Linked DNA regions of Lepisosteus oculatus. The main gene of each other region encodes a partner of the protein of the gene in region 3 in a complex. Links are inferred from orthologs where the notes say so. Each region holds a gene or a part of one and is shown on either strand. Other genes may lie near its edges.

Region 1 (7,738 bases), on a different chromosome or scaffold from region 3:
CAGGGAGGAAGAATACAGACAGATGTAAGCAGTGATTAGGAAGGGCCGAGCAACATAGTAAACCAGCAAGGAGACAGAGCCAGGGTTTAGACCTGGAGAGACTGCTTGCCTTTAATGGAGCAGTTTATATAAAACAAAAAATAGTTTTCACAACATCCAACTGCTCCGCATCATCACTTGGGGCTGAAGAACACTCCCAACATAAATGGAATGTCCACACTTTTCCTATCAGTTTCAGTTTCAAAGGTGCTCTCCAGTCCATGTTAAAGTTCAATTTCCCCAAAATAAAATCACCTTGGTCATAAAAATAGAGGATTACAAAAAGCACTCCAGTTTTATTGGTACACACTACACAAGAAAATACAAAATAAGCGGTCAGAAAGACTCCATTCGGCATACATCTGTCTGTTATACAGTTGGCTGGTTAAAGCCTAAATTACTCTTATGACCATCAACATACACTTCATCACCTGCTCCACAACAGCTACAACCGATCAAAGAAACTATTGGCCATTAAACAAGGGATACTCTGGGTGCACTAGTTCGCCACACTTTGTAGTAGGGTGATATTGTCTCCTTTCAGCATTATCCGTCCTGCAAGAGAAAGAAACAGGTCATTCAGATTAACCACGTATTTGTTTCAGCATCACCTAAATTGGACATATAGCCATTTTAATGTAGACTAGTACCAAAAAAAAAGCTAAAGTCATGGGCATCAAGACCAAAAAAAAAAATGCAAACATGCTTACCAAGGGGTTTTCTGGTTTTTGTTTTCATGTGAACCTCTTCAGCGTCATCAAGCACCAAGTTCATGTATTCATCAAAACCCTAAAATGAACAAAATTATAAGAGATGGTCAGGGAAAAAGAAGTGGGATTTAGTCAATGTAGATCCCTCAAAAATGACACACCTAATCTTCACAGAAAATTCATTTATGTGCAAACAGCAACACAAAAAACCTACTGCTTCCCTTGGCTAATATTATAACGAACTTTCTAACTGCTTCTTTAAATTCAGGGTAGCTGGGGAGCTGGAGCCTGTCCCAGCAAGCAACGGGCACAGGCAGGATACACCCTGGACAGGGCACCAGTCCACTGCAGGATGCACACACTAACAGAAATACGCACACATTTCCATCAGGGTCAAATTGTCCCTGAGGCCAATTAGCCTACCAGAATGGACTGTGGGAGGAGACTGGAGCACCTGTCAGAAACCCACATGAACACGAGGAAAACTTGCAGACTCTCACGGTGCTTGCTCTTTTCCCATAGACAAATCCCAGACCTTTTCCAGACTTTTACACTTTCAAAACCCTTCTATAACATTTGTCTCTGTTAAATATGTGCATGCTTTATTGACAATTTTCTTGTAACTGTCCATTCCAATAAAGAAATCCAATTAATGTACAAAGAATAAATATCCACATTCCAGTTTTCATCAGTTCAATGATTTAGAGGTCATTTAAGACTACCATCTGTTAAGATTGATCCCAATAGTAACGTTAAATCTCTTTAGAGATGTAATAGTGACCCATACAACCTGCTTGATTGGGGTCTTGAGAACTCTAGTTGGAGATCCCTGGAATAGAACATTGAGAACAACCCCCCATACAGAGAGTAGTATATACTACTATCACAAAATTACACTATAGCAATGTAACAGCTTTTAATTGGACCAACAGCAGTTCATCTGAGCCTGGCTTCATGTTCTTTTAAGGGAGCCAGAACCAAGTGCCAGGTCCTATATTAGGTATGATGCCACCCCCTTTCCAATACATTTGCAGTAGCAACTGCCATTTTAAACTACTTATAAAACCTGAAATGTATCAAACTGCCATTAAACCTGATCTGTATCCAATCCTGTGTCATGGAAAAATGGTACACCCTGCTGTGTGATATCAGAAGCAGAAAGCACAGCAACCGGGCTGGAGAAAAGGGGCAGTTCTGTGGAAGAGCTCAGGATTCACTCACAATAATGCAGCCTTCTATCCGCATGTTAACTTGTTCATACAGCCACACCTGGATCCTGGATCGCTGAGGAGGAGAGAGAACAGGAGTGAACTAGCTGAAGGAAAGATGTGGTTGAAGGCTTAAAAGCCCGCTCCAGTGTGACAGGAAAACCCTGTGAAAAGTGTCAGGACTGTTTTATCAGATTCTTTAACTGAGGTTACATACAGGCAGGCTACAAAATGTTCAGATCACCGACTCCTTCATTACAGAAAATGTTAATGATGTTCTTTGGAATACATTCTCAGCATTCATACACAGGCACCTAGCACATCATAAGCACGATCATGTAAAAATATTTTTTTGTAATTACGTGTTTGCTCTGGAAGCATGGAAACTTGAAAGACCTGGGTCTTCAACGGAGAATCCGTGTGTAGAAGTAGCCGATACATTGAACAAATGCAACCAAAGGCTAACTAATGACTTTGAAAGTAACTCAAAGAAACAAAACTTACATTTTGAAGATATCTGAAGATAAGATTCTGAAGGGATCAGTCAAGGAAAATTAGTTAATAAATTCTTCTCACATCACCTCCTTTATCAGTTTAAATGAATAAAGCCTTCGGTCTCCAGCGGGAATCCACACTTTTAAGATCACACGCGATATAAATAAAAAGCAAATAATGTAAATGCGCATGCCAATTACTAGTTTCTGAATCATTTACTGTTAAGAATCTAATACGTTCGTGATACCAAAACAAAAAACTAGCGAATTATGCCATGTTGGGTAAGGCCAGAGTTGAATAAACAATTTGTAGAATGCCCTTTTCTGATTTGAAACTATTACAAATTATTTCAATTTTAAAAAACGTACATATTAACCGAATAGAGGGGTATATCAGTCTGTTAATCACATAGAAGCATACGACAAGTCAGGTCAACATACCAAACGTAAATAGCAGTGTACGAACGCCGACAATGTAGACATAAAAAGAGTTCTTACTAGCTAGGCCAAACTACACAACATTTATGCACACCCGGCTCACACAACGCACGCAGAGTACTATGTGTTTCAAAGGATACAATCGGCTGCACCATAACCTTCTGAACCTTCTGTCCTTGGCCTCTGTACGCCATAGTCCTGTAAGTTCTGCTGGTTCAAAAAGAACTTTAAAAACAAACTTTCACAGAATTACTGGGGCCGGTCTTCCTGTCGAACACCGCGCTTCTTTTCTTCTCTCTGCGGACGGTGCCCCCACGCTGAACTTCCCTTCAATGGCGGAATTTCCGGGTCACCTCAAAGCAGCGTGGGACGTTGGAGGATCAAGTTTCTGGCCTCGGTAAGCTACAAAAATGTGTGCGCCATCTGCTGATGGGAGGTCGTTATACCATTACAATTGTATACTTCAATTGCACAGTACGACTACGGAAATAGGACATACGAAACAAAGTTTTTTTGGTTTAAGAACTGTAAAAAAGAGACAATATCATCCTAAAAGCAATATTTCGCCAAACGGAAGTGAAAATTACCACCTAATTTCTCATAAATGTTTAGGTACCTAGAATGATATCTAGCCCCAATTAAATGGACGATTGACAGAAGCTAACTCCGCAGGTCTTTGTGTTTTTGTATCAATAATGACAGAAATTACAGAATGTTTTTGCCTCCATTTACTAGCTTATCATTAAAAATATGCAATAAATGGGAGTGCCACTGAAAATGCAAACAAACCTATGGTTTTGAAAAAGGCATTTTTTATTTACAAATAAGTGAATTTTGGAAATGGTATACAGGCATTTAATTAGAACAGAAATTTAACTGACACAGAAAATAGGACAAGGAACCCAGTCCAGCCCCCTTAACAGACCATACATCTCAAATGTAGCAATATAGCCACTTTTAAGATTTGTGGTCAATGGTGAGAAAAATAAAATATAAACGTATTTCCCTCACATGAACACAACCTATTTCACTTTCTGAAAACATCCGCAGCCTGGTGACACACACCCGACTGAAATGTTTTAACTAGAGTACATATACTTTCATTCATACAGAACAGTGCAGAAGAAAAATGAGAAACAATATTCCCTCCACAAAAGACAGTCATCCCTGAGAAGCTTCAAGATTGTAAAATAAACTACTAGTTTTTCAGGGGGGAGAACACAGCACTATGTTGAGATAAAACATGATACGACACTCTTGAAAAATTAAAACATGGTCCCCAGTGGAATTTCAGCACCACATTTTAGATTAAGACACTCTTTAAATGATGTAAATTATAGTACACAATTACATTAAAGCAACTGGGTTTGCCTTTTGTGTTTTTAGTTTGTATCTCCTGTTTGCTAAAGTTACAAAACCCCTCCATCCTCTAGTGCTTCCAATGTAATGAATCATCTACAAATCCTATAATTGTTTTTTGAAGTGAAGATGTATGCCTTATGCAACAGGCTGCAGACAGTATTTCCAAAGAATGGAAGAGACCGCACACTGGCTGCACTGGTGATGTGTGAAAAGGGCTTTTGCACTAGAGCTGGTGTGCACTATGTAACAGAGAACTGAAATCCAATCCACAAACTGCACTGACTTTGTTGGCTGACACTCTTGAGTTATTTCCTTACTTTACGTGTACATAAAATAACCATTGTCAGAAGTTTAGCTCAGTTTTGCCTATCAGCACAAGCTGACAGTTCCAAGCAGATTTAATGGCAAACTCCACCAAACGCGGATATGTACCCTCCCTCTAAACTGATAAATTCCACTCAAGTAGTGCTCATTTCGTAATTAATACAGACTCCACTTAAAGGGATATACATATTGTAACAGAACAAGCCCTTTACCTGGCTGAACTAGGTCTATCTGTTTTTTTTTCAAATTTCATCCTACCCCACATGTAAAAGACCATTGTGTTCACAGTACAGTCAGTAAGATTTACAAATAAACATTTTTTGGAGGTCTTCCAGGACAATATAATGGAGTACAAATCACACACTGATGTGTGTGCAATAACAGGCAATTAAGCAGTTACAGGTCAGTCACTCCATTTTTTGGGGAAATAGCTCTGCAAACCTTGATATGAAGCCATGTTGAGCAATATCTTCAAGAGGACAGCAGGGCTGGGTGCAAAAAATGTGAATGCTAATCAGTAAATCCTAAAATTAAGTGTTGTTAGCTTGTTTTATTCCATTCCACAATCTCAGTTATTTCCAAGCTCAAAGTCTTCTTAGCCTATATAGAATAATAGGTGAAGGTGAAAATAACTATTCTGCACTTGACACCCATGGCAAGCATACAATTCAGACAAATATACATCAACACATGTTTCGGTCAAGCTGTGGGTCAGATTATGAGTAGCACTGAAAGATGTTCAATATTAGCATTAAACAAAAAAGATAGTGAATCTAACAGTAAGTGTAAGACTGCTTTGTATGGCAGTAGTCACAATTCCTAAAGCAGGCTTTTCCATTCTATACCTGAAGAATGAACAGAATATGAATGGTGTTTTCTTTGAAGCAGTATTTCAACACGATTCTCACATTTCTTTATGCTATACATTTTTCCATCAGTGAAAGATTAACATAGAACCAGTAAACAAAAAATGCAAATACAGCCAATAAAAATTCCCTCTGGGAACACTGTGTGTAATTCTTGACATTTAAATGTTAAATGTGTAGCAACTACTATACAGACAAAAGAAGGGAGCTTAAGAAATAATAAAAAACAGAAAGATCTCCCTGCTTTTTACAATACCTTTTTTTAAAAAGCAAAAAAGCACCCTGAACTTCACGTTATGCAGTGCAAACCACCATACCTCCTGATTGCGTAAAAACCATTGAGGAGACACACTGGAGGTACTGCATTTGAAGTTCTAGCATTAAAATGTTAACATTGGGCCGCCAATGGATGTTGGGTAAACCATTCCAAACTTCATTAAAAAGTCAGTTTTTAAGGTAAAATACAGGGGAGGGGGAATAAAAACCCACAAGCCAGCCAATTTGTTTAAAAAAGTGCCCTTTTCATCTAAGTGAAGGTAGCAACTGTTAAGCTGTCCAAAGAGAAACTGAAAAGGACCCTCTGCCCTGCCCCTAGCTGCCAATCATCTCAGATAGTTCCAGCAGCAGATCCTCGTCATCCTTAGCAGGGTCCAGCTCGATCTCGTTGTCCAGGCCGTCGTCAAACTCCTTGATCAGTTCCTCAAAGTCATCGACTTCCGTTCCTGGGACCCGTGAGGACGCCGAGCTCAGCCGGCGTGTCTTCGCAAGGGGGGTGGCACGCACTGGCGGGCTCGTCACTGCAGCAGAGCTGGGGGTGGGCACACAGAAAGGAAAAGTTAAAGTAAGAAAGAACATGTGACCTAGAGCAAAGAAGGACATTATTTTTTTAAAAGCCTGATGGAAGGGACAGTAATGCTCTCAAGAAAGAAAACCGTAACAGGGAGTGTCCACTTCAGCACTGGGAAAAAAATAAGTCATTTTAAAAATTTAAAATTAGTGCTTTTAAATATAACTAAATTTAACACAGAGAGGGATTTTGAACTGTCCCAAGATTAAGCAGTGTTAAAATGAAAGGCTTGTGATCAGGGATGCAGTTTTACCTCTGTGGAACTGACAGAGTATCTCTGGCTGGGATGGCACTAGGCTTGGGCACAGGCAGCTCACACTCTGGGGCAGGTGGTCTCTGAGGCTCTGCCTGTGGGGTAGCAGGAGACTGGGTGACAGACAATTTGTCGGGCTCCTCTTGGGGGATGGTGCTGGGGTCCTGCCGCGGGGACTCTGGGACGGGGGTCCTGGCTTTCTTTGCAGGTTCTGCGATCTGTGGGCTCTGGAGCGATGATGTCATGTCAGCCTCTGTATCTGTGAGTGCTGGAGTCTGAAAACAAAATTACTGTGAAAATGAGAACTTTCAAATTGCAGTTTGACTCAAGAATATTTAATTAAAAATATTTAGTAATTAATCCTTTCCTGTTTTCGCCCAAACTACGAAAAAAAGAGTGAAGTAGTTGCTTGCTCTCACCTCAGGCCACCTGCATAGCAGATCCTGCTCTTGCTCCTCCGATGCTGCGGGGGCGCTATTCAGAGGCTTGACAGCCGCAACTGCAGAGCGGTGGCTCTCGGGCACTTTGCGCTTTTGGCCAAGTCTAACTGGGGTAGCTGGTTTTACCACTGACGGCTTCACATTCAACTTGGGCCTCACTGAAATGTTTATAAGAAAGAGAAGGATGAGACAAAGTTTTTGGAATTAGTTGTTAAACACCAAAATTATCAAAAAACTGATAACGTGCAACTCTGTACAATGTCAACACGGCACCAAATCAGTACTACCTTTTGGTTGCGGTGGATGTGTGGTGGATCTTTTAGCTGCAGCTTCTTCTGACTTCTCAGCCTGAGGCTCTGGATTAGGGGTTAATGGGGAAGAGATTCCAGGGCTTTCAGCTGAGGAAAGTGTTCCGGCCTCTGGGACCTGGGCTGCAGAAGAGCCTCCCTGGCCATCCATAACAGGCGAGATGGGTGTCTGTTTTGAAGTAGTAGCTGAATCCTCGGGAGAATGAGAGTCTTTCTTCTCAACCGCCACAGGTCCTTGCTCCTTTTTTGGGACAGGCACAGTCTCTTTTTTTCTGAGGGTTATGCGTGGTTTGGAAGGGCCTGGTGGTGAGGTTTTCTGTTGGACGGAGGTTGGCACATGCTGGGGGGCACATGCTTTACTTGCTCTCTGCCTGACTGAAATGGGCGATCGCTCGGTCTGTGGAGCTTGTGCTTGCAGGGCCTCTTCTGGTTTCACAGACGAAGGAGAA
Region 2 (8,502 bases), on a different chromosome or scaffold from region 3:
TCACAGTGTGTGGAAAATGTGATTATAACTTCTTCTAGCTCCTGTAACATCCTCATGTTTACCAGAAAAGATCAGTTAGTGTCTTTGAGGCCTCTGTATGCTTTATCTAAAGGAAAACAGTAGGAGGCACATCTGTGCACAGTGAGGCTAAGCATGTATCCAACAAATGGTAGCACACCCAAATGAGAGTATAAATCACACATTTAGACATGAACAAATTGTATATATTTTGCAAAGGAGTTTGTGTAAATACATATAGGTAATAAAAACATTTTGGCCACACACTAATTATTCTTGCTGAAAAGTTAAGGAAATACATCTTACAATGTAAAACTAAAAATTTTAAAGCCATTTACCGAGAAGTGAAAAAAGAAAACACTTGAAGCTTTTCATAGATGTTGTTCCTGACCTTGAGGCTTTCATTTTACATTAGTGCACTACTCAACCTTGTAATGGCGTATTACAAGGAAAAATATTTTCTTATCTTTGAACTCTTAGGAGTCAGTTTAGTGATATACTCCTTCCTATACATCATTCTCGTCACAAAAGTATCTGGGAATTCACAGAAAATCTTCACTTGCCAGGTTTGCACAAAATATTGTTGAGAGATTGAGCAACTCCACAGGAATTGAGGAGCTGGCTGCCAGGTTGTCTGTACAGCAGTGAGAAGCTCAGCCTTTCCTACAGACAGGACATCCCCTGAGCTCATCGAGAAGCCTGTCTCTTCTCTGCCAGCTCTCCCATTTGCTTCTGCCGACGCTCCAGAACCTCTGCCAGCTTTTCATCGTATTTGGCCTGTTCTCTGGCACGAATCTCTTCCACTTCAGGGAAAAACTTGTGTCTGAAAATATAGTTAGTATTGTCTTTTAAATTATTATTTTGATGATGATGTTTTGCATTTCTGCAAACATAATGAACCTCCAGTAGCAATATAAAGACCCAGCCATAGCTAAAAAAAAACGCTACAGTGCTACTTGAAAGTTTGTGAACCTCCGAGTGGTTCATTTTGACTATAAAATTTTTGTTTAATCAAAACTAGTCCTCCCTAAAACAAAGGTTTATGTCCACAAATTCAATGTATTGTTCAGAGGAATTTATGCATGCAATAGAAAAAGAAATAGGAAAAGAAGATTTAGGGCATGTGCTAAAGTAAGTGAACCGCAGGTTTCATTAGCTCAGTCAACATGGTAAGTATAACCAGGTGCTAAAATAATTGGGTACCAAGTTAAGCAATCAAAGAACCAATCACCTGAGCAAAGTCAGTTTGGTGCTGTTCATACAGAGTAATGTAATGCACCATCCCACAATCTAAAGAGACCCCAGACAAGCTCAGATGAACTCAGGAAGAGTGTTGTCTGCTCACCAGTCTAGAGAGGGTTATAAAACCATTGCAAAAGGTTTTGGAATTCATCAGTTTACTGGAAGACAAATAGTCTATAAATGGAGAAAATTTAAGGCCACGGTAACTCTACCTAGACGTGGATGTCCTTCCAAATTATCCCACAGAGCAACAAGAAAACTCATCCTGGATGTCCAAAAGAACCCTAGGACCACATCCAAGCATCTCCAGGCTTCTCTTTCTGCAGTTGATGTCCATGTTTATACCTCAACAATATGACACAAGCTGAATAGCAATGGTAGCCAGAAGAAAACCTTTGCTCTAAGAAAGGAACATTGCTGCACATCTTAAGTTTGCAAAAGACCATCTGGATGATCCTTTAGGTTTCTGGAAGAATGTTCCTCAAAGCAGATGTGAAGGACTTTACTAACTTTAGGAGCTATGACTGCAACCAAACAATTCCTAAAGGGTGTACCACTGCTAGCTGAATTAACTTTCACTTACTTTTGCACACAGGAATCTTTGAGCTTCTATTAAATAAACATGCTTTATTTAATAAATAATGAATATATGTATGCATGTCCATTATTTGGGTTATATTAAATAAAAATTGGAGTGCAGATAATTTTCTTAAGAGTATAGAGAGAGATTATATACTTGATGCTGCTACTATAACACTGCTACTTTAGTTACGTTTCCTGGTCCACCATTTTTCACACTTTAATACATATATACAGCTCCCCCTAAAAGTAATGGGACAGTAAAATCATAACTGTTGTTTTTGTCTTACAGTCAAGCAGTTTGAATCTATGATCATCAGATTAATATGAAATTTCATGCATATATCTGACTTTAACTTTAACAAAACCATACTTTGTGTTCAACCCAGTAATTTCAAGGTATCAAATGTATTCTAATACATTCACGTTAAGTAAATTTCAGAGTATAAATGTTAAGTTGCATTTCCCAAAATACATATCTCAAACCTAGTGAGTTCTCCAAATTCCATTTAAACATTTGAGATTCCTTTTCTAGATGAATTGAGGTGTTCCTGTTGAAAGCCTTCAGCTTCAATAATAATAATAGCTTACAGTTGTATAGCACTTTTCTGGACACTCCACTCATTACCATCACAGGTAATAGGGTCTCCCCTCCACCACTGTGAAGCCCCACATGGATGATGCGACGACAGCCATAGTGCACCAGAACGCTCACCACACATCAGCTATCAGTGGGGAGGAGAGCAGAGTAATGAAGCCAATTCATAGGTGGGGATTATTAGGAGGTAAGGTAAGGAGAAACGCCCTGGGATTTTTAATGACCACTCATTAAACCGAGAGTCCTCGGTTTTACGTCTCATCCAATGGACGGCGCCTGTTTACAGTATCGTGTCCCCGTCACTATAATGGGGCATTAGGACCCACATAGACCGCAGGGTCTGCCCTGTCTCTCTCACACCTGAAGAAGGCTCCACAGCCGAAACGTTGTGTTCTCTTTCTTCTTTTTTTCAGCATGGAATAAACCTATTACTTGTTCCTTTGCAGCCTACGCATGCTGACGCAGCTACCCACCTGAACTACTACCGCCTACAGCTGCTGCGACCCACTATGCCTTCCTCCAAATCTTTTTCTAGATCTCTTCGTCATACCTTCTCTTCCTCCCTGGGCCACTTGCCCGCTTCTCTCAGCTGATAACAACCCGGTTATTGATGTCATTAACAACATTAATCCCAAACAGAGCTGTTGGACTCCCTCCTCTGGCCGTTTTCCACCAGTTGATTATTTCATTAACCAATGCACTAATCAAGCTCCCAAGACACTCTCTATACCCAGTAAACATAGGTCTAACCTCACCCAAGGAGAAAATCAGGCGCTCCAGTCTCTCCGCAACAGGGATGATATCGTCATCAAACCAGCGGACAAAGGAGGTGCTGTTGTGGTGTGGCGTAAGGATCTATATATCTTTGAAGCCTCTAGACAACTAACTGACACTTCTGCCTACCTCCCTCTCCAACAGGACCCTACCACTGACTACCAAAAGGAAGTGGTATCCACCATTTCCCTTCTTATCAGCAGTAACGAGCTCCCCCAGGAGGCGAACCGGCTCATCATGGAACATCCACAGGTATCTCAATTTTACCTCCTCCCCAAAATCCACAAACCGGACACCCCTGGACGCCCCATCGTATCAGCATGTAACTGTCCAACTACTTACATCTCAGCCTTTCTCGACAGCCTCATGAGACCGCTGGTTGAAGATCTTCCCTCATACATCAAAGACACCAACCACGCGCTCCAACTTTTCAATGATTTCCAATTTCAGGGTACCGAATGCCACATTTTTACCATGGACATCACATCTCTGTACACCGTCATTCCCCATAATGACGGCCTTACAGCACTCAAGCACACGCTGGACAAACGCACAGTGCTTGATCCACCCACCCACACCCTGGTACGCCTTGCAGAATTGGTCCTCACACTGAACGCATTCTCTTTCAATAATCTTTTTTACCAACACACTCAAGCACACGCTGGACAAACGCACAGTGCTTGATCCACCCACCCACACCCTGGTACGCCTTGCAGAATTGGTCCTCACACTGAACGCATTCTCTTTCAATAATCTTTTTTACCAACAGGTCATGCCATAGACATGATTATGATTATGCCATAGACAGGGCATAGACCCTGCTGGCCCCACTAACACCTCTTCCAGCAGCAACCTTAGTTTTTCCCAGGAGGTCTCCCATCCAGGTACTGACCAGGCTCACACCTGCTTAGCTTCAGCAGGTTGTCAGTTGTGAGTTGCAGTGTGATATGGCTGCTGACATGAGAGGCTTTCTGATATAAAGGTCAATCAGCTGCTAGAAGCTCGGTGATCCGAGGGTCTCATCCTGCCATTTCGTGGAACAAGCCAGGTTATGAGCTTTAGCTAAATGAGCTGGTAGTCTGCGCGAGAGTCCCACAACCAGTACTTGAACTAGAACCAAGAACTCTGCCAAGGTCAATAAACCATACAAATGATCAAATCCATGAGTTCAGTGAGCACATTCCCAGGTCAAAAGTAAGGCAAAAATAAAACACCAGACTATTTCGGTCAACAAAGATCAATGATTTGTTACTTCTGCAAGAGCGATGACTTCGTTCTAGCACTCATAGGAATCCAAGGTTATGACTTTCTACAAAAGGATAATAAGCTTCCCGGAACATCCCAAATGGTATATATAAATACCTTGAGTATTTTGCAAAGCTCTTTAATTTGCTATTCATCACAATAAATGAACAATGTTGCATAAAGTAAAAAGCGTTTATGAAAATATATCTGTTCGTCCACACTAATACACACCTGTTAACAAAGGCGATGGACAACCCAATGAGGATCGTCCCAAACAAGACCGGCTTGGCAAACCGCTTGCCGGCAGACAATTTGATCTGTTTCATGTCTCTGCTATACGAAGAAATACCTAGGCAAAAACAAAAATGAGTGCCACTTTCTACCTTAAAAAAACAGAGCAACTAGCTTCACGCTTCTAAAAAACAAAACGCAACTGCGCTCTCCTCCTATAAGCTCCGGCATAGAACACATGACTCAGAGAAACAAAGTTCCGTCCACCAGAGTACAGCCCGAGTTTTCCGTTTATACACATCTGCAGCTATATACGGTTTGTATATGCAATCGCATCATTGTGCAGTTTACACCCGCTACAAAGACATTTTGAATTTTATAACTTGTCCTCTCCTCCCATTAATAAGAGATATTTAATTACAGTTTTCACTGGTTTATTTTGTCATTAGATCTTGTAGTTTTGTGGAACTGGAATCTAAAAGCCAATGCGTTTCTGTCGATCGGGGGAGAACGACTAGGACAGGAACGGAAGTAAATACAAAATATAAAAATTAAGGTGTGTGTGGAAGGGGAAGGCAAAGGTGGATGAAAAATGGGTCGTCGATAGGTAAATAAAATAGTTTAGTGTAATAAATGTATATTTTTTTATAATGCAACAAAATATCTAACAGACTAGCGTAGCTTTTAAATGTAAGTAATTTGTTTTTTTTACTTTTCAGTTTGGGCATTATTTGTGGTATAAACACTTTTGCTGCTAATCCGACACCAATATGGAAAAGCTTTCGGTTGATCGTAAATTTATAATAAAATATGGATCCAACAGTGTTCAAATTCTAACGTTTGAAAAAAAAATATGACACTTAAAATCTGTGCAAAGAATTCCGTACCTCCCTCCTTCCCTGTATGTGAAATTGATTTAAATGTGTATCCTGTATTCATTCTTGAGCGTAAAGAAGTAATTTGTTTGAAATACAGCAGTATCTTTCATGATTTTTAAATACTTCAGTACAACTCCATGTAATCTCTTTGGTTCAAGTAATATATTTTAAATTGAGTTTAAATTATTTTGCATGCTCTGCTTTGGTGTCTTTCTAGTGTGGCAAAACGCTGCTTTTCACAGTATAGGACACACTGCCTTAATTTAAAGATCAAGATAGTTCTGAGGATTATGCTGTCTATGCTGAAAATGTTTTTTTTTTTTGCTTTAGGAGTGTGATGTTCCCCAAGAAAGGTGACTCCCAGGGACTGGACAGATTTGAGTATCTGCAGGCTCTGGTCACAGAGTTCCAGGATACTGACAGCATTGGTATGAACTTCTGTTTCTTTTAAAATATGTTATTAATTTTTCTGCACCTTATAGGCACTGACCAGCAGGCGGTGTTTGTAGCTCTTTTATTAAGCATTGTCAATGAAACAAAATCATGTGGAAACCATGTTTTCGTAGGATTTCAAGTAACGTAGTAGATTAAAATATGGGTTACAGCGTTTGAGATGCACCGCAATGGTTACAAAAATGTTGTCCACATGGAAATATGTGTTGGTTGAATTATTGTCTATTCAAAATCTGTGAACGTTTATTTCATTTTCACGTTTAGAAGCCAAGACACAAGTATTGGCAAACTTGGCCAACTTCTCCTATGACCCCAGCAACTATGAGGCCCTTCGCAAGCTTCAGGTGATCGACCTGTTTTTGGACATGCTCACAGAGGACAACGAGAGCCTGGTGGAGTTCGGAATAGGTAAGGAAGACTTTGAGAAGAAGATAGAAATGAAGAAGAAGAATGATGATGAAAAAAGAAAGACAGTTCTAGAAATCAGAATCAATAATATGTCTTCGTATAACTTAGTATAACTGCAAACAATTATTAGATTATTACATTAGGGCATTTTCTGCAAGAGATTTCTAAATGGCCAGTGGAGAAATGTGTATATATATGATAATGGGTACACATGTGCAGGTGATACAGAAACTTCTGTTATAGAAAAAGGTGTGGTTCAGAAGGTTGTGCAGGTAAGGTGCTTGGTGGTCTTATTGTTGAAAATCATGTTGTATAATATGTTGATTTTTTTAAATTAAGAAAGAAATTCTACAAACCTATTTAAAGAGTGTGTATATATATATCCACAAATAAACTCCATATTTCATAGTTTTTTTGTTTGCCTAAGTTTAGTGTAAAAATCCTCAACTAACAGTAACACCAACAAAAAGACCTTGCACTCCTCACACTGATAACATGCAAAAGGTTTTTTAGAAAAGATGTAAACCCAAAATACCTTTATTATATAATCCTGACCTAGTTTTGTCACCTCGACTTTGACATTTTGAAACAGTTAAATCACCTGTAAAGTAGGAAAGGCTGTTGCTGTTTCTCTCCTAAATATAGCAGCTCGTCGGCAAAACACCCAACCATGAATGGATATTTACTACAGTTAGTACTGTTCGGGTACTTCAGGGGCATCTTTGCAGGTGAAAAACTGACTAACTTTCCAGTGTTCCAGACAGAATGCAGGCTGTTTATTAGGGGTGATTACATATATGGCCCTGCATGCCATAGGTTCGCCATTGCAGCACTATAGGTTGGCACTCCTTGAAGCCTAAACAATGTAATAGAGAAACTGAACAAAATGCATCACAATTAACCTGATGCTTTAGTACATTTATTTAGCAATTTCCATGTTTTCACAGGGGGTCTGTGTAACCTGAGCCTGGACAAAACCAACAAGGAATACATCCTGCAGAACGATGGTGTGAAGCTGGTGATTGGGTGCCTGTCCAGCCCCAATGAGGAGACAGTGCTGTCTGCCATCACCACTCTGATGTACCTGATGACTCCTGCCTCCCGCGAGGAGATCACCGATATCCCCGTGGTGGAGTGCATGCTGCGCTTCTCCCTGTCTACAAACCGGAGATTAAGCAATCTGGCTTCCGTCTTCCTGCAGGACTACTGCACTGCGGAGAAGGTGCAGAGAGCCCAGAGCCTCCAGGGACACTCTGCTGTGGGCATCCCACTGCCTCAGGATTAGATCTGCTCTGCTCCTAGTGATGCCACTGTCTTCTGGTTTTTGTTCTAGCCCAACTCTAATTGAACTAATAATTTGCATATTTGGATATACCATCTAAACTCCTTACAGTTCATTCCTCTCCTAACTGTCTCCCTGCCCTCTTCATCTGACTGCTGCTGCCCCTGAAGAATGTCTGTCAAGCCAGGTGTGTCCAATTTACTCCAGTTAAGGAAAAGAAACTAAGCCTCACCTTGTTCCATCACATTGTAGAAGGTCTTGCACACGAGGAGATGAGGAGAAGTGGAGAGGATTATAAAGAAAAGAGACTGAAGATAAGTGGGAGTACAATGGTTGAGGTACGGTAGCAGTGTGAGATTTGGTGCTTCAAATTGGACACAATGCAGCAGAGAGCCAGCAGAGGGTTGGGACCAGTGAAGCAACGTGAGAAAAGCAAAGAAGAGCAAGCGCACAGAGCAGCCCCAGCATTCTGGATGAGTGGGAATTGGTAGATACATTTAGCAGGGACTCTGGCCAAGAACTACTAAAATAGTGTGATGAACACAGGATCACTGTAAATCTGTCAATAGCACTTTTCTCTATAACACTTCACACTGATGTGTTCAGTGCACAGTGTAATGTCCAGTAGAGTGCAGCATTGTCATTGTTTTCCTTCATATCTGCAACCTCCAGTTAGAATATGCCTGTATTGATAGAACTGTTTCCATACTGTTTAAATGGGTTTCTAAGTGTCCTATACCATGTTTAAGGAAACCTTTTTCTTTTAAGTGCTGTGTATGTTTTAAATGTTATAT
Region 3 (8,474 bases):
TGCGAAAGGGAAGAGGGAGTGAAATGCTGTTAATATGCAAAATATAATAAAAAGCATGTGGCAGCAATATAATCAAATTCATAATGAAGGATAAACAATTTGGAGAAAAGAGCAGAATTCACACCTGGTCCAGAGGGGTATGGATGAGTTCCAGTAATAAGATACTCTGGATCATGCCCTGAAAAAAGTCAAATGAAAAGGTGCTCAGATTCTTTTTTTCTTATTATTTATATCCGGTCATTGTTCTCTCAATGTTTCTGCAATATAACTGGCTTAACTCAACAAAACAAGAACAACAAGACAACACAAAAACAAAATAAAAACCTTTGAAGAAATGCCTGTAACCTGAGACACTTACCAGGGTTTGCAGAGAAGTTCTGTTGGCCATAGGGGTCAGAGATCTGGAGGGAGCCCTTGTCTTTGCCCTCTTTGAAAACTGGCATGTGCAGCACAGCACTGTACTCCGTACGCAACTTGACGGCCATCTTGACCTTGTGGCTGACATAAGATAGCATTAGGTGAAATGTGAGCAACTCAGTACAAAGCTTTATAACAAAATGAATTAGATGGGCTTGAAAACACCATTAAAAAGTTGCACTCAGTTGCGGACTCAAGTAAAAAAAAAACAGCTGTCCCCAATCTTGTTCACAAGTTTTTCGTTTTAACCTTTAACATATCATTTGTGACTTATCTGGACATGTTAACAGATGTTCCCAGCTTTTATTCAGGTGCTGGAGCATTAAAGAGACATGGAAACCCTGCAAGCACACCAGCCCTACATGAAATGGACTGGAGATCCATTTTATGGATGAGACCATTTTATGTATCAAGTTACATGCTTAGTATTCTTGTATATTTTTCTAAGCATAATGTATAATAATTCTTATTCCTTACTTAAAGATCTTCAAACAAGGACAACTTCAAAATTCCAGATATGAAAACAGCTATACCAGTACCTAAAGCATAATTATTTTCTGCTCCCAGTTTCTGATTTTACTTTACTACTAAAAATTTAAGAGAGCACAGCACACAAGTAATACAATCTTATTTTTAAACACACCTCATGTAAGATATGAGATACCTACAATCTTGAGCAGGGCTACACAACCTATAGGCTCTACATTCCACTCCAATACCAAACTGTGCTACCACCAGATCATTACTTCATCGCTAAATTATTAGTATTATGATTAATAAAGCAATTCCAAGAGCTGGTTAAATCAAACTAGTGTAGTGGAGTCCCTGGTGTGGTCCTGATGTAGAGGGTCACACGCTTTGAAGGATTTACTGTAGTTTTTCTTCACATTACAATGCTGACAAAGCTCAACAAGTCTTAGGATATCAGCCACCACAAACAACAAGAATACCACTGAAATCCACTGGAAAGTGAAAACTGTAAAGTTGGATTTGACAGATCTTATAAGTTTTCAAGATGTAGCAATACTACAAATAGTATCTATTAATACATTTAAAACCTCACCTTTCTTCATCCATATCAATGGGCTTCGCATGATCAGCCACGAACATATCATGAGTGCGCTTGAGAGATCTGAACACCAGTGTGTGCACAGAGTGCTTCTGTACCTCCTAGAAGATATTATAGGGCAGGCATGATTGTAAAACATTTCTGGAATAACAGCTACAATTCAGTATATTAATAAACACCACAGCCTGAATATAGGTTCTTGAAAATCTATTGAATTGTTTTAACCACACTAACTAGTTAATAGCAAGAAACTATTTTATGTAGTGCCTTTAAATGCCTTTATTTTATAGTGACTTTGTGGCTTCACAAAGCACCTTACAGAAAAAATAAATAAAATGAGAGCATACAACAGATACTGTTGAATTCTGAACATATAATAATTTTTTCAATGTGGATTTAGACACTGGCGAGTAGGGCAAGACAGTAATCAATTTGGGTTAACCAACTTGAAAACGAAAGTGACGACCAGCTTGTCAGCAAGAGTTAGCAACACCATAGGACATAGTGTGGCAATATTTCTGAGGTGGAAGAATAATGTTTTTACAATGTGCTGCACATGTGGGTCAAAACGTCAAGCCTGGATCACATATCACCCCAATTGTCATCTAATTAATTTGATAAAATACTAGATGCAAGCATTCAAAATCCTCTTCCGAAAACGTCACTGCTAAACCAACCCAGATTATTTCTTCAAAATTAATATTGAAACACCAGAGGACACGGGTGGAAACTCCGTGAAAGTGAGTGAAAAAAAAGTGGGGCACTTCTTTACAAAGAGGGTTGGGGGAGTATGGAACAATCATAATAAACTTTATTTTAGACAGTTTCTTTAAAAGGAACTTATCAAAGGGCTTTACCATAAGAGAAAAAATTAACAAGGAGAAGATGTAACAAAATTAGTACAATTAAAAACAAGCGTTTAAAATGCAGAAGAAGAGGCAAGGGGCACACAGAGCCAGCTACTCAACGCCGCTGCTGAAGCCGATACCCTTGGAGTCTTTCAAGAAACCGCGGGATGATATACGTGGATAAGTAAACGTCTAACTAGAAAATGTTGTAACCTTTTATGTTCTTAAGAGTCTTCTCTCTACCCAAGTAGACTGACATACTGATTTATATTTACAAATAAGTACATCAATGAAAACTGACTGAAAATCTTAAATAAACGTATCGCTATTCAGACGCATACATCCATACTAAGACCCGTTTTACGACCTTCAGATTCCGCTTCAGCCAATTATTTCGTATTTATCGAGCAATCACACACAACTAAAACACCATAGTAAGACACCAGAGGGGGGAAAACATAACCATAATCAAATCTTAACTACTACAGAAGATGTTAATTACTTAAGATTCTACAACAAAACAACTGATCTATAGTCTCTAATTTATATAACCTTTAATTCGTACCTTTTAAAACAAAAGAAAGAAGCGTATGCATTATACTGGCCTATACAATACATTTCATTTCAAAGTTCAAACATATTTTCCTTTTGAAAAATCAAAACATAGAACAAAACGAGAAAGAATATAAACAATTAATTACCTCCACCATAGCTGAAGACAAATCCTTTTCACTCGATTACTTTTTTAAATATATTTTTTTTAACTATTCGAAAACGTACCACCAACAAATAACAGCGCGCACACAATATGAATACAGGAGGAAGGAAAGTCTGCGTTCATTTCCGCTTCCGGGGATAATCAAATCTCGACTGTTAGGAGATCGACACACTCCTACTGAGTGGTACTATAGCGACTTCTACTGTAGCGGAGGCCAAAAATATATTCGTTAAGAGTGTTACAGTACATACATACAGTAAATGTTGCCATTAATTGAATATTAATATGTATTCTACATTTGATTTTGTGGTGCAATTTTCATTGTTACAATAACGTATATACCGATGTTATACAGTAGTTTTTAAGAGCAAAAAATGTCCACAGAACTTCTAAAAATATACCAAATATATAGTTATAATTAAAATAATTAAAAAATTATCCATCATTATAAACATGGGCAATAAATGCTATAAAATACAAGAAATTACGATTGCTTACAATTACACTGAACCACCAAACGCTCTAGCAGAAGCATCTTAGACCCTGGTCCAGTCCCCTAAATTCTGTAGATCACTGTAAGTCACACTTTTCTGAGGCTTGTGAACAGATTGGTCAATCAAGAAAGTAATTTATTCAATAAAAGTAACCCTGGTCCTAGCTGAGGTCTAGAATGTACAGTACTTAGAATTTTGTTTCATGTGGACTCTACAATACAGAATTTAACGAGTCACCTGAATAATTATTCACAGATGTTTTCCAAGCCTTTGGAAAATACCTTATAGGTACTGAAATGTTTTCAATTGGGGCTCTCCGGGACAGTATTGGAGACCAAGGTTTTGGACAATGGAGAATTAAAACTATTTACTAAAAATAAACCAACTGAAGTAAACATACAAATATGTTTCTACTGTTTTTTTTTTAACAACGCATAATAGTAACGATTTGAGAATTGATAAAACATTGTGTAGGGATTTCACATTTATCATACATTTCATAGCTCACATATTAATAAATACATGCATTTACAGTAAGTATGAAAAAAGGCTGTGGAGCTTTTAGATGTGGCAAGTAGAGTATAAAAAATTATCAACATCCAAAATGTGTTTATTCTTTATGTTTAGTTTTCACTATGGAAATAGACTTTGCTTGTTCCTTTGCAGCTTTCACACTGACACAACTCACCCTCTAATCTCTTCATTTTATGTGTTGACCATTATACAGTAGCTGATAAATTTGTGCCTATATTGCTACTGCAAAGTCTCTAGCATGCAATAATAACAGTGAATTTTTCCTTTAGCCAATGGATTATATTGTTTTTACTATAGTATTACAATGTTTAAGAGTACACTCTAATATAATGATAACATTTATGACTGTATAGAGAATATTGTGGTAGAGATAACAAGACAGTTGATGGAAACAACTGTCTAGACATACAGTATGAAGGAAGTGAAACTCAGCTCTCTGATCCCCAATGCAACACAGGTTTTGCAGGCAATAGTTGAAGTGTCCTACAGGGAGATTGTGTGCATGCCATGAGTAGGCAGGCTTGAAACATAAAAAAGGGAGATAACTGGGTGATGAGAGGCAGCAGTCAGAGGAAACGACAGACACACCCCATAGGGGTGGCATCCTCAGAGCTTTTGGAGTTCAGCCATTTCAAGGCCTTATTGGAGACAGACCGCAGGAAAACAAAGGACACATAGGAAAATGTTATGCCCCTGGACATCCAGGAGCCCATTCCTTCAGTAAAGGCAGGTACTGATAGTGGCTGACTCTATATGTGAGGTATTACATATAGAGTCTCATCCGTCTCATCCGTCCTTCGGATGAGACGTAAAACCAAGGTCCTGACTCTCTGTGGTCATTAAAAATCCCAGGGCGTTTCTCGAAAACAGTAGGGGTGTAACCCCGGCATTCCTGGCCAAATTTCCCATTGGCCTTTACCAATCATGGCCTCCTTATAATCCCCTTCGATGAATTGGCTTCATTACTCTGCTCTCCTCCCCACTGATAGCTGATGTGTGGTGAGCGTTCTGGCGCACTATGGCTGCCGTCGCATCATCCAGGTGAATGCTGCACATTGGTAGTGGTGGAGGGGAGTCCATGCTGCCATATAAGATGCCTCTACTCAGCATCAGAAGCATTTGAACAAATACAGCATCAAATGTAGCCATTGCCATAGGCTTTTCTATAATTGTACTAGAAGGGCCTTTCTGTTTTGTGCTACTATGTGAAGATTCTATTGAATACACTGAAAGGTTGTGAGAGATGGCTTTGTAAGAAAGCCATCATCTTGGATGAAAGACCACTGGGAGGTGGTAGTAGACTTGAGATGAGCTAGGAGGGTGCTGTTGTAGGCAAGAAGAAGGGGACAAAACTGCAGAAGAATGCATTCAGTGATGCAAAGCAAAATGACTGAAATAGCTACACTGTATGTGTTGTTTTAAAACCATTTCCATAAAGGATGAATAGTTTGTAAAGTGAACGGCTACCTACACTTAAGATAGCAGAAGGTTTGAAAGAATATAACACAAAACAAGTCATGAGGGACGATATAAATCGTCACTTTAAACAAAAAAGGTCTGTTTTTACTTATGCCTGTCAGGGAAGAAGTTTCAGTAAAGATGTTTGTTTCTTGACTCACCTTTCATGTACAGGAGTCCAGTGTCTACCCAAGACTACATGTAATTTCAAAACTCTCCCCTTTTCATGATAAAATTGATGCCTGACCTCTCTTTGTTGAAATCTGCATTGGGAAAAACCTGTTGTTTTTGCTTTCCCTTGAAGAAAAGGCTCCAGTAATCCAAGCCAAGATGACCTTTGTTCTCTAGACTGCCTTCCACTTATAATTGTCCCTTCTTTTTTTAATGCCATTCTCAGTTCTTAAATTTAATGTTGTTTAAATCTGTCACCTCTTTTTGTCCTAGAAACATTTGGCTGAAGTTGGAATACATTAGCTTGTTCATTTAGCTGATTAACTTTAATAAAAATTGTATTTTATCCTTGTATTTTAAGCATACAATGAGTCACATTGTAATGTAACTTTTTAAAAGGCTCTCATATACTGTAGTGCTTAATATGAAATGGCACTATAGAAATAGTAAAATAACAGTAAGATAATTGATTGCTGAAATTTTAAAAAATTCAACTTGCAATGTCCTAAATGTAATGCTGAGATAATCTGGAATGAGAAGTGTTATAAAAATGCAAGTCATTTTTTATGATTAGAAAAAAGATCCATACTGTACATGCAGTCACTTTGGTGTGTGGTAGCTATGAGATATCATTTTGTTATTATTTTGTTGTTTAGAGTCTGGGTTTTATATATAAAAAATAAATAGACTGAAAGCTCTCCTGTGTAGGATCTGAACAGGATCAAATAACTTGACAATCATGGTATCAATGCACCTATTTGCTTTTCTGTTAATGCGATAATTAAGCCTATAGTAGGTGGACAAATATTTCTCAATTACCGTTGTTTTTCATTTTCATTTAGTTTCATTTAGTTAATTTCACTATCTAACTAAATTCCTATGATACTGAGTACTAAAAGCCATGTGCTCATTACATTTTTATTTCAAAATAGTAATCATAAAAACAGCATGATTTAAATGTTTAGATTCTGTGTGGGAGTTTGGCAGACAAATAAGTCCACTGTGATTAACCGACTGGATGTATGCTTGCACAATATTTCTGAAATATTAAGTAAACAAAATGAAAGAATTGAACATCAAGTACCTACGTAGCTGTCATAGAAGGCCCATGTTTTCCTGCTGATATGACGTGAAGAAAAACAGTATAAAAATATTATATGTTTATTGTATATACTGCATAACAAAACAGGAAATGGTGCTGTCATTCCATCTAATGAGTAAAGCCACCAAAGGTTTAAAATGTACATTTTTTTTCAAGATACAATTAGCCTATATACATTATTCTTAAAAATGTTGAAGTACATATATATGAAAATGAAATTCAAGTGCAATTATATTAGAACTGGTAGATACATCAGATCTATGTTGATTCTTTTTGTGATGCACAGTGCCAACCTGTCATAAAATGCATTGTTTGTATTGAATATACTGTATGTAAAACTCTAACAATGAAGGAAGTATAGGCTGTCATTACTGTATTTACAGTAGGTACAGTAAATACTCTCCATCCCATCTGCATTGTTTGAAAGTCATTAGATAAGGCATCAAGTAATTATTGGCTTATAAGATAGTTGGCATACTACAAAAAGACTTTTACAGACACACAGATTTGGCATCATTATCCATTTGTTAAAGAAATAAATTACTGCTTTATTGTGTTAAAATGCTAAGTATCTTTTGATAAAGGCAAAAAGCTAACTGTTGCCAGAGAAGGTATTTCAGAATTATACCAAACTTAAACAAACAGAATGCAGTGTTGTTTAACTTTCATGTGTTCATCCTTGACATCAGGTTGTGATGTGCTTGCATACCTCAGGGCTGGTTGTTTTAGGCAATGTTTGGTCAAGCAAAGTACATTCTTTATCCTTTGTTGCTTCATGAAACCAACATTAACCATTTAAATCCTTTGCTGTACTTAAAAAAATGTTTGGGTACAATGTAATACTCAAATGTCTTACTTTCAACCTTTTCATTTACTGTGGTCTACATACTTGTGTTAATTTAAATTACATAGACACTTCAATTTGCAAGTGATGCATTTCCCCATGGAAATATCTGCCACTTAGATGTTTGATTTAAGTCACATTACACATAATGTTATTCCAGATTTGAAACATTTTTTAAAACAGTTCCGATGCTTCATTATCACATCATTACTTCAAGGTATTTAAGCATTATATTAAGGTATTAAGTTATTTCACTAAAAGAATATTTTCTATGGCTTCAAACAGGCAGTAATATAGGTTATAGAAAAAGTTACAGAAGCTACATGGTAACGAAAGTTTTCACTATTGTGTTCTTCACTGTTCAAGTGTTTTAACACTGTTGTGATCCATCATAAACTATTTCCCTTTGTTTTCTTGGGTCCAGACTGTCAGTTTATTTAGCTGAGAACACAAATGCTTTTCTTTAATGCTTTTCTTTTTTGATTGAACACTTTTTAGGCTTGGCTCTTCTTTAAAAACATGAGATAACAGTTCTCAAAAGTCTGGCCCTTCTTCTATTACAGTACTGTATATGTTAACAGCATACTGATAAATGAAAGCACCCTGTGGAATTAATTAATTAATTTAAAATATAAATATAGATTGATAAACCTTTCAGGGAAAATTACTATTTAATACACATAACACTTCATGTTTGTCACATTTTACAATAGTATTCTTTATAAAATTATATATTTTATTTAAAAATAAAATATTTATATTTATTTTAAACAAATATACTGCTCTATCCTTACTATTAAAATTATTTTTACCATTACA
Region 4 (7,608 bases), on a different chromosome or scaffold from region 3:
ACGAGGACACAGACAGGGAGCGAGGCCGCAGGGCTGCAGGACGGCCAATAGCCATCGAACTGTTATTCATGCTGACAAATCAGTGCATCGCCTCAGCAGAGCACAGAACAGATCTGCAAAGGAACAAGTAAGAGGTTTATTCCCTGCTGAAAAGAGAAGAGAGAAAACACAACGTTTCGGCTGTGAAGCCTTCTTCAGTTGGCCTGAAGAAGGGTCTTCAGGCGTCTTCGGGGAGACAACCTGAAGAAGGCTCCACAGCCGAAACGTTGCGTTTTCTCTTTTCTCTTTTCAGCGTGGAGTAAACCTATTACTTGTTCCTTTGCAGACTACGCATGCAGCTACCCACCTGAACTACAGAACATATCTGACCTGAAGTACAGAAGTCACGAAATAAGTCGAAAAGTTATTTCAACACAGAAAACCTACAAGGAGTCTTTCTGATGTACTTTTACAAGGAGGATTCCAGCACGACTGACTGGGTCAGGCGGCATGCTGGTTTGCTGTTGTGTTTGTTTGCTGCTGATCTATTCCGAACGTCTTCCTTTCACACTTCGTCGTGTGTCTTTGCCAAGCTGGAGGGGGGTTCAGTCCTGTGCTCTCTATTTCCCATATCTCGGGCATCCAAGACAGCGGTTTAGCCCGCCGAGCTACCCGGGCTCATGCAAGTGTGAGCCTTCCCTCCTTCCCTCAAAAAACAAGTCAGAAATCCGCTCGGCACCGGTATCCCAGGACCTCCGTGCTGAGGGGGGCGACAGAAGAGCGAGGGGGGGGGGGGCGGGGGTGGCGTCAGAGCTGGAAGATCTCGTCCTCCCTGTCCCTCAGCCCGTTGGCGCGCTTGGTGATGGTGAGCGGGACGGGGCCCAGCGTGGCCCCCTGGTGCACCCTGGGAGAAGAGGCGGAGCTCCGGAGCTCGGCCCTGCGGTTGGCCGAGGCTCTCCGGGGGCCGGCCGGCTCAAGTCCCACCAGGCTGTGAAAGCAAAGGGGAGGGAATTAAATCCTCTGCAGGACTGCCCCCGGGACAGCGTCTATTTGGGGTCTCATTTCACCTCGTCGTCTCCTTCTGCTTCCTGACTCCCTCCGCTTCCAACAATAACATCCTTCTGACAACCTGAAAGAGGGAAATAAATTCTCGTCGCACCCCACAACCTGCACTCCGGCCTGTTGCCTGCGAACCCCTGAGGAAGGCTCCCCAGCAGGGGCGCAGGGTATTTCCTCTGCTGGGTCTGTCGGGCAGTCGAGCATTAACACAGCTCACTCTAACGTCTACTGCAGCACTACAAATGACCACACCACCCCTGGAATGGAAACAGAAACTCCTGCCCCACAGGACTCAGGCCCAATTCAGGTTTCAGAAGGTGCAATGCATTTACCTAAACGTCACTTACTGTACATGCTAAAGCAAGGTTATTTAAAGGGGAGCTGCAGCGCCATTTTTATATTTCGGGGTTCGGAAGAATCAGCATTGATGAGGGCATTTCAAACCACAATGAAAGCAAAATATACACAGTAATGTATTAAACCTCCAATTTACACCACAAAATAGACAAAATGATCCAGGTATGCGCAGTGCCATGTCCTGCGATTGAGAATGAGGCAACAAAACTTCCAGTAAGGTGAAAAGGCCCTATTACACTGTAAACAAGCAGGCTTGTGAAAACAATCTCCTTTAATCCAATAGAAATATGGCTCTCGCCTTCGAGAAGGTTATGCTACAAATACTACTTGTTAACTCTGCATGCAGATCTCGTTGGAACATTTCAGCAGTGAAATGTCTGCAGCACAGTCTGTACTTATTCGCTCGTACATCACAGCGTACTAGTCATTACAGGGACTAGTGAGCAGGAAGGGCTGCCAACATGTTGCACAGACTCTGTGGTGAGACCAGGAGTCTGCGACAACATGGCGACTTACAGTACTTTCACCAAGTTAACAATTCTGTGCTTGTCACCCGTAAAATTTGTTTTAAGCATCCAGGTCTTGATTAAAAATGTTCAATTGCTAAATTGCAGAACTGGGGCCCTGGGTTCAATTCCTGACTTCGGGTGCTGTCTATGTGGAGTTTGTATGTTCTCTCTGTGTTCAGATGGGTTTCCTGGTGGATTAATTCCCTTGTGGGAAAATCGGCCCTGGTGTGAGTCTGCCTGCCCTGTGACGGACTGGCGTCCCATCCAGGGGGTACCCCGCCTTGCACCCACTGAATGCCGGGACAGTCACCAGCTCCCCCCCTCCCCCCCAACCCAGCCTCTTGCAAGGAAAAATCGAGCGGTTAAAAAAAAAATGGATGAATGGATATTCACTTTGAAAGAACTGTGCCTGCATCATTCGTCCACTGTAATTAAATGAAGCGTCATGGGACACCCAGCTGTCCAGTCGGCCGGCACTCACCCCTTCTCTCCCTCCCGCATCTTCCTCACAGCTGCCTGTTTGGACTGGCTGATCATGCAGTCCATCCTCTCCAGGAAGTCCCTGGCCGACAGGTCCGAGTTCACCCCAGTGCCGGGCACCTCCGGCTCGCCTTTCGTCTGATTGGCGGACGCGCCGTTCTCCTTCAGGTCCTCTCCGCGCTCCCCGGCCGGCGATTGGCTCGTCCCCTCGCCCGCCGGCCCCGCCCCGCCCCCCGGAGGCTCCAGGTCCGTCAGCACCGGGATCGAGAGAGACTTCTTCAGGAATATGGAGTCGTTGGTGTACAGCCTATTGGCTCTCTTGATTTGCTCCATCTGCAAAAAAAAAAACACACACACCACAAAACAATCTTTGAATCAGGAATTTATTCATGCGAGTGAGGGAAAATATTTCGCGAAAAGAGCCACAAAAGTTTCGCAGAGCCCAAGTTACATGACCTCATGAACTCTCCTGCTCAGGCGAATCTCAGAAACCAACCCCCAGGTGGCACTCACCGTCACCCCGTACTTCAGCGCCAGTCCCTGAAGCGTCTCTCCGGGCTGCACCTGGTGCTCCACCCGCCTCTCTCGCACCGGCGACCGGGTTGAATGCACCAGGCTGCCGTAGGAACGGGTCCGGCTCCCGGAGAGGAGCGCCTCGCCCCCGGCAGAAGCAGGGAGCCGTCCCGAAGACATCGCCGATGAAGATGTCGCCCTTGTGCCCCCTCTGTTTTTCGTCTTAGTCCAGTTCGGTGGTCTCCGGATGAGGCTCCATCGAAAGAGTCCCCGGACCCTTTCAAGCTCAAATGCTGTATAGGTCAGTGGACCTCCCTGCGCCCATCAACAGCGTGTGAAGATACTTCTCTTGAGAGCACAAAACGTCCGGTTACGAATTTCTAAAATGTTTGGGAGGCTCGGCATCACACACAGACTCAACAGCGGGAGATTTTTTGAGAGAAGTGTGTGAGATCGGAACTACAGGAAAGCCTTCGCATGCGAAGTACGGTTTAAGACCCCCAGTGGCTCGCGGTTTGCAGGACGAAAAGCACCAGGCTTTAATTTGATTAAAGAGACGTCCGCGGGACCGAACAGAGAAACTTGGGGTACCGGTTTCACTGGACGGGTCTGTTTTATGCAGACTAGCTAAGCGCTAGCAACCGTCACCCAGTTAGCTAAACACAAGGTTCTTCGATTGTGCAGGGTTGTTTCCTAAGCGTTTCTGATCTGTTTTTATCCCGCAGATCCATCCCTCGAGCGGATGTACAGTACAGTGTATCGACGCTGGAGTAAAAGCTACTTGTACTGTGGCTAAAATAAATACAACGTACCTGTTATTTATGCGTCTAGCTATAAATTCCTCTAAATTAAAACGCCTGAAATAGAACCCGTAACAATCGCGAACGAGGTCCCTGGAACTGTCAAAAATAAAATATCAGTACCAAAGCAAGTCTAAAAATGAGTTACTCGAACACGTTTTCTGTTTCTGTTCGTTGAACATTCTCGCGTGTGCATTTTCTTGTCACTGTCTTTCCCGTGTTTTTTGTAGCGCATTTTGTTTAAAAAACCCGTTTCATCATAGTGACGGAAACCTTAAATTATAACATAACGTCCTCAACGCCAAGCTTTTTACTACATACAATCGTACTCGAAATGAAAGTACCCTAGGAGTTGTAGTTCTGCCTAATTCGGAGAGTCGTTGGAACAACGAGATAGACATGACTTAAAAAACTACAATTTCCATAGTTCTATTGGGCGTGTAAGCTAGGAATGTTGGGAAAGGCGAGGCCCCACAGTCCCATGGGAACTGGAGTGTGCATAGAGAAACAAGCGGGACGATTCTATAAGTAGGGTACATCCCTCGCCCCATAATTTGCATTAATTAATTATTACTTTTACAATAACAAGACTTGCAGTTGTATTTATGCTGTCCCAGTCAGAGGTTTCACAAATAAGTAGGACTCCCAGCACCCACTCGATAGCCATTAACACTTGAAAAACTACAAGTCCCATCATTCAGCTGGCGGAAGTGATGTTTGTCCGATGAACGAAAAGCAAGGCTGAGTACTTTTCTGGTGTTCTTGTAATAATGTCTTTTAAAAGGGAAGGGGATGACGCTAGTCAACTGAATGTCCTCAAGGTATGTTTTGTTATTTAATATTTCCAGTGTTTTCTACTTGTGCTTTCGAAAAGGCCGATGCAAACATAGTAAAGGTGCAGCTGAACGAAGCTAGCTATTTCTCTCCGAAAAGTAGCTCTAAAGGGGATCTTAACTTTGTGCCCAGAGTGTCTTTCCCTGCTTTTGCGTCTTGATGAAGAGATGTGTAATTCAGGGATTCATCTGAAAGGCCCTTTCAATTAGGCAGGCTGGTTCATTCCCATTGAGCCTCTCTTCTCACTGGCAGAAACGACGCGTCGCTGATCTCCTGTCCAACTTCATTCCCGAGGACGAGGCCGTCCTGATGAAGAACGGAAGGTAATCCCACCTTTGCATAGCGCCGCCCTAAGCAAATTACCCCCCCCCCCCACGGCTCAGCCTAAAATGTGTCCAAGTCGATGTAGGATGTGTTTTCCACACTGGCTATAAAGCCATCTGAAACTTCTGGGCTGTGGCATCAAATTGATGCTTGCAATTACCTCAGACCCCCGCCCCCCAAAGAATGAATGCATTTATTGTTTGGAAGATGATACACTGCAGATGAAGACTCCTTTATCTCTCCCTTCAAGGCAGTATGGGATCGGGAATCTAGCCTCTAGGCGCCCTCCCTCTCCGCCCCTGTGCTCTCCTCCGCAGGTACGCCTGTTTAGTGTGCTCGTCCCGGCCCGTGTTCGACACCGTGGACATGCTGGCCGTCCACAGGAAAGGGAAGAGACACCTGGAGGGTAGGTCTCGCCTGTTCCAGACCGGGTACCGGCCGCATGCAGGACTGCACTCCAGTCTGGGAGCTGACCCGGGAGAGATCGTTTCTCTAGAAGACTAGGGATGTTAATCCTGGTGTCCTGGCCAAATTTCCCCCCTGGCCTTTAACCCTCATGACCTCCCTCTCTGAACTGGCTTCATCACTCAGCTCTCCTCCCCACTGAGAGCTGGTGTGTGGGGGGCGGACTGGCGCAGCATCCAGGTGGGGCTGCACACTGCTGGTGGTGGAGGGGATCCCCATTACCTGTAAAGTGCTTTGAGTGGAGTGTCCAGAAAAGCGCTATAGAAGCGCCAGGACTATTATTATTATTATTATTATTATTATTATTATTATTCCAGCGAGTGAGTGCTGATGAGGTCGCCTGGGAAAACCCTGGTGAGCCATGACCCCCTCCACCCCCATTTCAAGTCAAGAAGCCTTATTGAAGAGCTTAAATTGCGGGGGGCTCCTCCCCCCCAGCGCAGGGGGGTCCTGTGGCCCAGGCGCTCTGAGGGACGCGTCTCCTGCCCCGTGTCTCCGCAGGGCTCCAGTGGTCCTACAGGAAGAAGCGGGAGCTGCAGAACGAGATCGAGAAGCGGCGCCACCTGGCCTACGTGCGCCAGGAGGAAGCGGGCAGGCAGGTGAGCTCAAGCTGCTGTGTAATCAGACGACCACCTGGAAGTCTCACATATCCTTAGTCCCCCTTTAACTGAAGCTGTAGGATAGAAGAACAACCAGAATCCTATTCATATGTCATTTTCTGCTACTTATTATCATCATGATAAACACTGTTTTATAGAGCGCGTTTAAAAGTAGGCTGCTCAGAACTCCTTACAGGAAAAGAAGAGTTCAAACAAAAGAGAGCAGTAAAAGACAGGAGATTACAGAAGTAACAAGAAGAAGCACAAGGGATTAGCAGGAGAAGGTGCAAGGAGCAGACACAGATGCCGATTAAATAGAAAACAATCAGCTTTCCGGGGAAGAAGATTTTGAGTCTGGATTTGGAAGTGCTCGGGGAAGAGGACTCTGGGATGCTTGGGGAAGGAGCTCCAGAGCTCTGGGGCGCAGTAAGGGAAGGCCCTGGCTGGCTGCTATAGAGAGTCACAGAACCCTAGAAGTGTTTTATACTGCAAGTGCCCCAGGCTGATTGTTCACAACTACGAGACTTCCGCGACTGAAATGTCGGTCCTCTTCCCTTAGCTGGGGACTTGACTCCAGGACCAGTCCAAGCCCCTTCGCCTGAGCAAGGTCGTGCAGCTGTCAGGCGTACGAACCTCCATGCCTGAACAGGTACGTTGACTCTGGAGGACGATGAGTTTACGTTTCTCTTCTCCTCTTGCCTTGTCGTTGCCCTAAAGGAGACAGCTGGTCCAGCTCCTCTGCTGGCCCAGACACGCAAGATTACCCATCATGCCTTGCTGAAGTCCACCCCCTACAACAGCTGCCACCAGAAGAGAAGGTAACTGGGATTGTCTGTAAAAACCTTCAACAATAAAATGGTCAGAAAGCTTGGAGCCCTGTCTGCCCTGCTGTGGAAGGGTTTTCATTTGAAGTATGAAGTATACATTAAAATGCATTGCAAAAATACTAGGCTTCTCCTTGGCTTTCATTTGAGCTCTTGCCAAACAGCTCAGAGAGAAATGTGTGTTTTTCTTACAGCAGCAGGTCTGAATCAAACTCCAGCTGTCCCTCACCCAGCAGGACCCCTGTTCCCAGGAACCAAATGTTGCAAGCTCAGTCAGGGGGGACATCAACGGCTGACACCACACCAGTGACCTCACTTCCTGGACACCATAGCAACAGTGCACTAGGTGCTCAATCATGTGCATAGCTCGTAAACATATTCACCTGAAAGAATGGCAGTTTTAAATGTAGCATATGCGTTTCCTGTCTGCGTTCCTATGATAGCACATCTCTGTAAGGCACCGGATATAGTTTATGGCTACTCTCATGGCCTTCTAAGACCTGAAAGATAAGTTTACATCATAAGGCAAATACAAAGCCTAATTTGAAATCTTATTGTGTTCGGCCCTGCTTCACGCTATTACACACTATTACAGGGCCCTGCTGTAACTCCCTGCTCTCTTACCTTCCCCAGAGATCCCGAGAGAGGGCGTCCCCGAGCGAGCGAAGGAGAGCACGAGAAAGAAGTCCCGGCCTGCGGCGGCTTCCGAGCCAGATCCCGGGGCGGCACAGAGGCGCCAAGAGATGGAGCACTACCTCAGGCTGAAAAGGTAACCTTCCACTTGTGCGAACCTACAGGAGGTGGCCTAGAAAAGGCATCCGCCCTATTTTCCGGGCCCTTGGCCGGTATCATTTCCCGGACACTG

Evidence for each region.
Region 1: plrg1 (region 3) and snrpe share a complex: the UniProt entries of both Homo sapiens proteins name them as parts of the minor spliceosome. The link is inferred for Lepisosteus oculatus from reciprocal best matches to the Homo sapiens genes PLRG1 and SNRPE.
Region 2: plrg1 (region 3) and armc7 share a complex: the UniProt entries of both Homo sapiens proteins name them as parts of the minor spliceosome. The link is inferred for Lepisosteus oculatus from reciprocal best matches to the Homo sapiens genes PLRG1 and ARMC7.
Region 4: plrg1 (region 3) and scnm1 share a complex: the UniProt entries of both Homo sapiens proteins name them as parts of the minor spliceosome. The link is inferred for Lepisosteus oculatus from reciprocal best matches to the Homo sapiens genes PLRG1 and SCNM1.

Annotation. Positions count from the first base shown.
Region 1 is NC_090700.1:38,045,270-38,053,007, forward strand, and holds snrpe (small nuclear ribonucleoprotein E), read right to left. Parts: upstream 3,214-7,738; 5' UTR 3,084-3,213; coding exon 3,030-3,083; intron 2,489-3,029; coding exon 2,462-2,488; intron 2,034-2,461; coding exon 1,971-2,033; intron 829-1,970; coding exon 750-828; intron 595-749; coding exon 539-594; 3' UTR 309-538; downstream 1-308. Other genes in the region: zc3h11a (zinc finger CCCH domain-containing protein 11A), read right to left, coding at 6,033-6,249, 6,542-6,816, 6,961-7,139, 7,269-7,738. UniProt on the Homo sapiens protein: Plays a role in pre-mRNA splicing as a core component of the spliceosomal U1, U2, U4 and U5 small nuclear ribonucleoproteins (snRNPs), the building blocks of the spliceosome.
Region 2 is NC_090704.1:32,755,552-32,764,053, forward strand, and holds the start of armc7 (armadillo repeat-containing protein 7), read left to right. Parts: upstream 1-5,289; 5' UTR 5,290-5,375; coding exon 5,376-5,377; intron 5,378-5,895; coding exon 5,896-5,993; intron 5,994-6,282; coding exon 6,283-6,426; intron 6,427-7,373; coding exon 7,374-7,711; 3' UTR 7,712-8,502. UniProt on the Homo sapiens protein: As a component of the minor spliceosome, involved in the splicing of U12-type introns in pre-mRNAs.
Region 3 is NC_090696.1:24,675,470-24,683,943, reverse strand, and holds the start of plrg1 (pleiotropic regulator 1), read right to left. Parts: upstream 3,161-8,474; 5' UTR 3,045-3,160; coding exon 3,036-3,044; intron 1,588-3,035; coding exon 1,481-1,587; intron 499-1,480; coding exon 359-498; intron 179-358; coding exon 125-178; intron 1-124. UniProt on the Homo sapiens protein: Involved in pre-mRNA splicing as component of the spliceosome. Component of the PRP19-CDC5L complex that forms an integral part of the spliceosome and is required for activating pre-mRNA splicing.
Region 4 is NC_090722.1:5,084,881-5,092,488, reverse strand, and holds the start of scnm1 (sodium channel modifier 1), read left to right. Parts: upstream 1-4,395; 5' UTR 4,396-4,467; coding exon 4,468-4,518; intron 4,519-4,783; coding exon 4,784-4,854; intron 4,855-5,172; coding exon 5,173-5,261; intron 5,262-5,821; coding exon 5,822-5,919; intron 5,920-6,636; coding exon 6,637-6,737; intron 6,738-6,937; coding exon 6,938-7,089; intron 7,090-7,376; coding exon 7,377-7,512; intron 7,513-7,608. Other genes in the region: lysmd1 (lysM and putative peptidoglycan-binding domain-containing protein 1), read right to left, coding at 787-967, 2,386-2,717, 2,898-3,077. UniProt on the Homo sapiens protein: As a component of the minor spliceosome, involved in the splicing of U12-type introns in pre-mRNAs. Plays a role in the regulation of primary cilia length and Hedgehog signaling.